2 linked regions of the Anolis sagrei genome follow. The protein of the gene in region 1 purifies or fractionates together with the protein of each later gene. This does not show direct contact. Links are inferred from orthologs where the notes say so. Each region holds a gene or a part of one and is shown on either strand. Other genes may lie near its edges.

The links.
Region 2: the proteins of IFT122 (region 1) and DNAJC7 purify together in Homo sapiens (co-immunoprecipitation; 3 studies listed by BioGRID and IntAct, counting the BioPlex papers as one, with this or other methods). This does not show direct contact. The link is inferred for Anolis sagrei from reciprocal best matches to the Homo sapiens genes IFT122 and DNAJC7.

The regions. Positions count from the first base shown.
Region 1 is NC_090022.1:49,983,722-49,987,640, forward strand, and holds the start of IFT122 (intraflagellar transport protein 122 homolog), read left to right. Parts: upstream 1-1,625; 5' UTR 1,626-1,827; coding exon 1,828-1,868; intron 1,869-3,919. Other genes in the region: MBD4 (methyl-CpG-binding domain protein 4), read right to left, coding at 1,403-1,422. UniProt on the Homo sapiens protein: As a component of the IFT complex A (IFT-A), a complex required for retrograde ciliary transport and entry into cilia of G protein-coupled receptors (GPCRs), it is required in ciliogenesis and ciliary protein trafficking.
Region 2 is NC_090026.1:45,047,597-45,051,515, reverse strand, and holds the start of DNAJC7 (dnaJ homolog subfamily C member 7), read left to right. Parts: upstream 1-1,006; 5' UTR 1,007-1,115; coding exon 1,116-1,231; intron 1,232-3,919. UniProt on the Homo sapiens protein: Acts as a co-chaperone regulating the molecular chaperones HSP70 and HSP90 in folding of steroid receptors, such as the glucocorticoid receptor and the progesterone receptor.

The sequences.
Region 1 (3,919 bases):
GGGAAAGTGGAAGGCAAAAGGAAGAGGGGCCGACCAAGGGCAAGATGGATGGATGGCATCCTTGAAGTGACTGGACTGACTTTGAAGGAGCTGGGGGCGGCGACGGCCGACAGGGAGCTCTGGCATGGGCTGGTCCATGAGGTCACGAAGAGTTGGAGATGACTGAACAAATGAACAACAACAACAACATTAAAAAACTCTAAAATTATAACAGCAAAACAACAGAGAGGAAACAATCTTGGACATCTAATCACCTCTCAACAAAAGATTGCCCCAGGCACTAGCAAGCCACACCAAACAACAGCCAGGCCATCAAATGCTAATCAAGGTGATCAGTTGAAACATTCACACCTAGCTCCAACAGACAAGAGTCCTTTGTCCCACCCTGGTCATTCCACATATATATAAACCCTTTTTCCTAGTTCCAACAGACCTCACTACCTCTGAGGATGCTTGCCATAGATGCAGGCGAAACGTCAGGAGAGAATGCCTCTAGAACATTTATGTATTTATTTACTTTGCTTGTATACCGCAGTTTCTCAGCCCGAAGGCGACTCAACGCGGTTCACAACATGAGCAAAAAGACAATCATAACAATATACAATTTAAAAACCAGTAAGGGCATAATATACAAAGTAATAACACATCAATAACAACACATTAACATCTCGTAACTAGAATCGTGATCCAAATTCGTCGTCTATGATTCCGTTCCTATGTTCACCATATTCATTGTAATGTTTATCCGAATGCCTGTTCAAACAGCCAGGTTTTTAGTTTTCTTCGAAACACCATTAGCGTAGGAGCTGATCTGATGTCCATGGGAAGGGCGTTCCACAGCCGAGGGGCCATCACAGAGAAGGCCCTGTCCCTCGTCCCCAACATGGCCATATAGCCCGAAAAAAACCTACAACAGCCTATGAATTTTAATGCATGTCCTTTTTTAAATCTCTATTTTGGGAGTTGTAGGCCAAAACACCTGGGCACCCACAGGTTGAGAACCACTGTCTTAAGTGATGTGCTAATGGAACACAAGCATTTATTCTCTGGCATCATGATGTCACATTTGCACTGAATTCCTGTTCTACTTGTGAACAGGGCTGAGAATTGCGGTATATAAGCACAGTAAATAAATAAATAATAAATAAATAAATAAAATAAGAAGGACCAGACCAAACTATTCATTCTCGGAAGTGGGCAGGTTGCAGGCCATTCAGGATGGAATCCATCCATGCAGTAGTTCTCAAACTTTGTTTTTTGGACTCCAACTCCCAGAATTCCTCGCCGTTGGACAAGCTAGCTGAGGGCTGCTGGGAGTTGAAGTCCCCAATCCTGGAGGATGGAAAACTTGGGGGCCACTGAAAGAAGGAGTCTATCATCTCTTTGTTGATGAAATCCATACCTGTCTGCAACTACCTGCATTGTTTCTCCGACAGGAATTTTGCCTCACCTCTCTATTAAGGCGGGAACTCATCTGCTCAATACGCATGCGCATTTTCACCCCCCTGAGACCAGATACGGGAGTAGTAGCCTATTAAGAAAGCGGGGCAGAGAGTCACCTGAGATCTCGCGAGAAGCAAGAGTGCGCTGAGGCAGATTTTGTTTGCGCATGCGTACTTGTGTTGTTTCTTCACTCGTATATCCAGCGGTGCTTAAGTGGAAATTTAGAGAAGAGGGATGGGAGGAAGGAGATGCGCATGCGCAAGTCCTCGTGCATCTCTGCCCAAAGAAGGGCGGTTTAACGTGGGCAAGAGTGCGCATGCGTGTTGCCTGGGGAGTCCGAATAAATAAAAGCGACAGCGTCCGTTGGTGGCTGTTGTGGAAAGGATGCGAGCTGCGTTGACCTGGAGGGATAAGGCCGAGCAGTGGTAAGAGCAACCGGGCTGGGAGAAGCTGGAGGTGCATCTACACTGTGGGATTAAGGCACTTTGACTCCACTTCTTTCAACTGCTATGGCTCAAGGCTGTGGAGTCCTGGGAGATGTAGTTTGTTGAGGCACCAGCACTCTCTGTCAGGGAAACCTAAGCACTTTGTAACATTACCCCCATGATCCATGGTATCTCAACTGCATTATTTTCTCAATGTAGACGTACCCTGAGAAGAGACAAGCTATCACTGCAAACTGAATGACAGCACCATGGCTCACTATGGAGTTAAGGGAATTGTAGTTTTACAAAGTCTTGAGCCTTCTCTGCCAATGAGTGCTGGTGCCTCACCAAACTACATAAGGAGCCCCCGGTGGCGCAGTGGGTTAAACCCCTGTGCCAGCAGGACTGAAGACCGACAGGTTCGAATCCGGGTAGAGTGCGGATGAGCTCCCTCTATCAGCTCCAGCTCCTCATGCAGTGACATGAGAGAAGCCTCCCACAAGGATGGTAAAAACATCTGGGCGTCCCCTGGGCAATGTCCTTGCAGGCAGCCAATTCTCTCACACCAGAAGCGACTTGAACTTTCTCAAGTTGCTTTGACACGGCAAACAAAACCAAACTACATATCCCAGGTAGAGCGCGGATGAGCTCCCTCTATCAGCTCCAGCTCCTCATGCAGTGACATGAGGGAAGCCTCCCATAAGGATGGTAAAAACATCTGGGCGTCCCCTGGCAATGTCCTTGCAGGCGGCCAATTCTCTCACACCAGAAGCGACTTGCAGTTTTTCAAGTTGTTTTGACACGGCAAACAAAACCAAACTACATATTCCAGGATTCCATAGCATTGAGCCATGGCAGCTAAAGGGGTGTCAAACTGTGGCAATTCAACAGTGTAGATCAGGCATGGGCAAACCTCGGCCCTCCAGGGGTTTTGGACTTCAGCTCCCACAATTCCTAGCTGCAACTCCCATAATTTCTAACAGCTGTATGTAGGCCATTGGCTGGCAAAAGTATGATAGCTGGGACCCAGTGCCGGTAGTGCTACGCTGGTTGCGTAATGTGGCTCAGAATTAGAGAAGGGAACATGTGCGCGAGAGACCACACGCAGTGAGAGACACAGCTATGACAGACTTGACAAGGTAGTTCGGTAGAAAGGAGGAGGGGACACAGGCAAGCATACTGATGTAGGCTATCCAGAGATCCTAGGCAAACATGTTCAAAAATGTTGCATTGGAAGGAAGGATAGAAAGGAAGGAAGAGAGAAACATGAGCAGTGATAAAAAATGAATCAAATCTTGTCACTCTTACATTACTTCACTGTTATCCTGTGCTACCTGCGTTACATTACTTCACTGGTATCCTGCCGCAGCTGCATCTCTCAGTCGATGCTCTGTCTCGCGCACATGTTCCTATCTCTAATTCAGAGCTGCGTTGTGCAACCAGCGTAGCACTACCAGCACTGGGGCCCAGCTATCATACTTTTGCCCATAGGGCGTTAGAAATTGTGGGAGTTGAAGTTAGGAATTGTGGGAACTGAAGTCCCAAACCTCTGGAGGGCCCAAGTTTTCTCATGCCTGGTGTTGATGCACCCTGCTCTTCCCAAGCAGCTCAGGCAAACAGTCTGCTGCAGCCTTTCCTAGGGTGCATCTACACTATAGAATTAATGCAATTTGGCACCACTTGAACTGAACCGCCATAGTGCACCAAGGAATCATGGGAGGTGATGTTTTCTAAGGCCATGAGCCTTCCCTGCCCAAGAGTGCTACCACATTACAACACCCGGGATCCCATAGCATTGAGCCAGGATGGTTCAAGTGGGGTCAAGCTGCATTAATTCTACAGTGTAGATGCACCCTTAGCTTGTCTTTTCCTCGTGGAGAATGTTTGAGCTACTCTTTTCCTGCTCTTTTGAACCACTTTTGCTGCTTGGTCAAATGGTTCTGTCTGCAAAATGTTGGCGAGTACACAGTAATTGTGGTGCAGTGTTTTAAGTATTGGATAATAATAATCATAATCATAATAATAATACTTTATTTGTAACCCTCCGTATC
Region 2 (3,919 bases), on another chromosome or scaffold:
ATCCCCTGCCACGCGTTGCTGTAGCCCACATGAGGGTTCTGTGTGGGAGGTTTGGCCCAATTCTTTCATTGGTGGGGTTCAGAATGCTCTGTGATCGTAGGTGAACTATAAATCCCAGCAACTACAACTCCCAAATGTCAAAATTCTGTTTTCCCCAAACTTCACCAGTGTTCACATTTGGGCATATTGAGTATATGTGTAGAGTTTGGTCCAGATCCATCATTGTTTCAGTCCACAGTGCTCTCTGGATGTAGGTGAACTACAACTCCAAAACCAAAGGACGCTGCCCACCAAACCCTTCCAGTATTTTCTGTTGGTCAAGGGAGTTCCGAGTGCCAAGTTGGGTTCAATTCAATCATTGGTGGAGTTCAGAATGCTCTTTGATTGTAGGTGAAGTATAAATCCCAGCAACTACAACTCCCAAGTGACAAAATCAGGGTTTTTTTAGTGATGGTCACTCCTTGGGTTAGTAGGTGTCTTGTGGCCAAATTCGGCAGCAATTCATCCAGTGGTTGGTGGGGTTCAGAATGCTCTTTGATTGTAAGTGAACTATAAATCTCAGCAACTATAAATCCCTGTAGAGTTTGGTCCAAATCCATCATTGTTTGAGTCCAAAGTGATCTCTGGATGTAGGTGAACTACAACTCCAAAACTTTATATAAATTGCATTATTATTATAAATAATTTATATTTTTATAAATAATTTTATATTATTATATTGTATTATGATTAGTTTTATACTCTTACATTATATTATTATCAATATTCTATGTACATACAATATATTATATGATTAGCACAGAACAATATTAGTAGCTATTTATTAAATAAATTATTTAGTATTTTATTTATTAAATAAATAGTGCATAGAAGCCAAACTCTGTCCTGCCACAGAGTCCTCCACTCTCCCACTTGGTAACCTAGGAGACCCAGAGGTTCCCTCTTGGCGGACTTAGCCCCCATCTCCTCTCTAGCCCCCATCTCCTCTCTCCCTCTCCGGAAGTGCACTTTTTTCCTGTCTTCCGCTCTCTCCTCTCGTTCGCCTCGCGCTCTGTCTCTCTCTCCCTCTCTCTTCCCGGCTCGCCGGCCGTTGATTGCAGCAACAAGGAAGCAAGATGGCGTCGGCGGGCGGAGATTGCGACGTGATTATGGCGGCCGCCCCGGCGGTGGCTTCGCATCCTGAGGCGCCGGTGATGCTGGGCGACGAGGACGAGGAGTCGGAGACGCGGAGGTAAGGCCTGGCTCCTCTCCCGAGGCGGGAAGGGCCTGCTTCTTCGCTTCAGGACGGGGAGGAGGAGCCTGCTTCACAGGAAAGCGGGGGGAAAGGAGGCCCTCTCCAGGGGCCTTCTGCAGGCAGCATTGTCATGCCTCTCAGCCCCTTTCTCGGGGTTCTGGAGTGCCAGAATGCTGCACCCCAGCATGAGTGCAGTTTGACCCCACTTAAACAGCTAAGGCTCCATGTTATGGGGCCCTGGGATTTGTAGTTTGCTGGGAGCAGACGACGTCGAAGCCCTTGGCAACTAAAGTGGATCCAAGTTTGCAAACAAACCATTAATTCAGGGTTGCTGTGAGTTTTTCGGCCTGTATGGTCGTGTTTCAGTATTGAAAAGAGTGAATGAATTGTTTACTGTACCAGCCATAGGCCATGACATCACATAATATACAACCTTTAAAAGTACAATGAGAAGTTCCCAATATGACTATTACTTACTTAGGTGATCCCTCGTTTTCCGAGGAGGATTGTCTTCCAGTATTCTTGTGGGTCCGTATGTGGCTGTGGAGCCCTATTCTTGCTCTGCATCTTCTTCTGCAGTGAGGGCATTGGTTTCCAGGTGGAAGGCGGTCTCGGTCGGGGTTGGCTTGACACGCCTTCCTCTTGGCACGCTTCTCCCTTTCGCCCTCCATTCATGCCTCTTCAAATTCTGCAGCACTGCTGGTCACAGCTGACCTCCAGCTGGAGCGGTCAAGGGCCAGAGCTTCCCTGTTCTCAGAACTTGTATGTAGTTGCCTTCACTTAGGTGATCCCTCGTTGTCCGAGTAGGATTGTCTTCCAGAATAGGTGTACTGGCGGTGGGTATGTAGGTGACTGTGGAGCCCTATTCTTGATCTGCATGTTCTCCCACAGTGAGGGCATTGGTTTCCAGGTGGAAGGCAGTTCTGGTTGGCTTGACATGCCTTCCTCTTGGCACATTTTTCTCTTTCACCCTCCATTCGTGCCTCTTCAAATTCTGCAGCACTGCTGGTCACAGCTGACCTCCAGCTGGAGTGGTCAAGGGCCAGAACTTCCCAGTTCTCAGTGTCTTTGCCAGAGTTTTTAAGGTTGGTTTTGAGCCCATCTTTAAATCTCTTTTCCTGTCCACCAACATTCCGTTTTCCGTTCTTGAGTTTGGAGTAGAGCAATTGCTTTGGGAGATGGTGGTCAGGCATCCGGACAACGTGGCCGGTCCAGCGGAGTTGATGGCGGAGGACCATTGCTTCAGTGCTGGTGGTCTTTGCTTCTTCCAGCACGCTGAAGTTTGTCCGCTTGTCTTCCCAAGAGATTTGTAGGATTTTCCAGAGGCAGCGCTGATGGAATCATTCCAGGAGTTGCATGTGATGTCTGTAGACAGTCCACGTCTCACAGGCATATAGCAGGGTTGGGAGGACAATAGCTCTATAAACAAGCACCTTGGTATCCCTACGGATGTTCCAGTCCTCAAACACTCTCTACTTCATTCACAACCACAAAGGTCTGATTTGTAACATCCCAAAACATATCCATTTCTCGCTTCTGCTATGGACTTTAATAATAATAATGATAATAATATATATTTGTGTTCTATTTTAAGAGGACCAAACGTATGTTGTATGTTGTGTTTGCACTGTCTGTTTTTGATAAGGCCAACTGGCTAATCAATAAAATTGTTGTAATAATAATAGTAATCATCATCATCATCACTTTATTTTTCTATCCTGCCTCCATCTCCCCAAAGGGACTCTGGGCAGCTTACATGGGGCCATGCCCAGAAAACATACAGTTAAAAACAGAACAGCAAAATATAAAACAGCATAAAAACAACATCATCATCAAAAAATAAAAGCAAGCATCATAAGCAACAACATAGGTACCTCTAATCTCAATTTTTGCAGGGAGAGGATCAATATATAGTTATTTGTTTGTTTACAGTATTTATATTCCACCCTTCTCACCCCGCAGGTGACTTAGGGCAGATTACAATGTACATATACATGGCAAACATTCAATGCCATAGACACATAACATATATAGACAGACACTCAGGGGCTATTTAACAATCCAGCTTTTTCATGAGGATATTCTGGCCACCAGGGGAGCTGTCGCTTCACCCTCCATAAAAAAACCACCAGAATCAAGAGAGTAAATAAAGAACACTACTCAAACAGGGGAATTCCAGACAGCCAATCATCAAGTGCCTGTTAACACCTCCCAAAGATGCCCCCAGGCAGCAACAGCCATGTTTAGGAGAGCCATCGAGTACTTCGTGTGCTAGGGTTCCTTGTGCAAAGCCTGTAAAACTGGGTTAGTATTATGAGTGCTTGTAGAAAGCCTTCAATGGCCTTTGGTCATCCAGTGAAATTCTGTAGTGGACTTGACATTTTTGCCAGGTAATCAAGTGCCACATCATTCCAGTTTGTCAGAGAGAACAAACCTGTTCCTGTGTGATCCCAGAAAGTTTGAGCAGCCACCACATTGTGTCCATATTGGGATTGAAATGGTTCTTTCTTCAAGTTAGCCAAGTTATTGTTGGGTTTTTTTTTTCTTTTGGTCATGGATACCTTTCAGAATCTCTTGGAAACTATGGAGTCCACTCCCCAGAAAAATGCATGGCAGAAGACAAATTGTAGCTTTCTCACATTGTAAATTAATTTTGTACAGATAAGCTACTCAGGAACAACAACA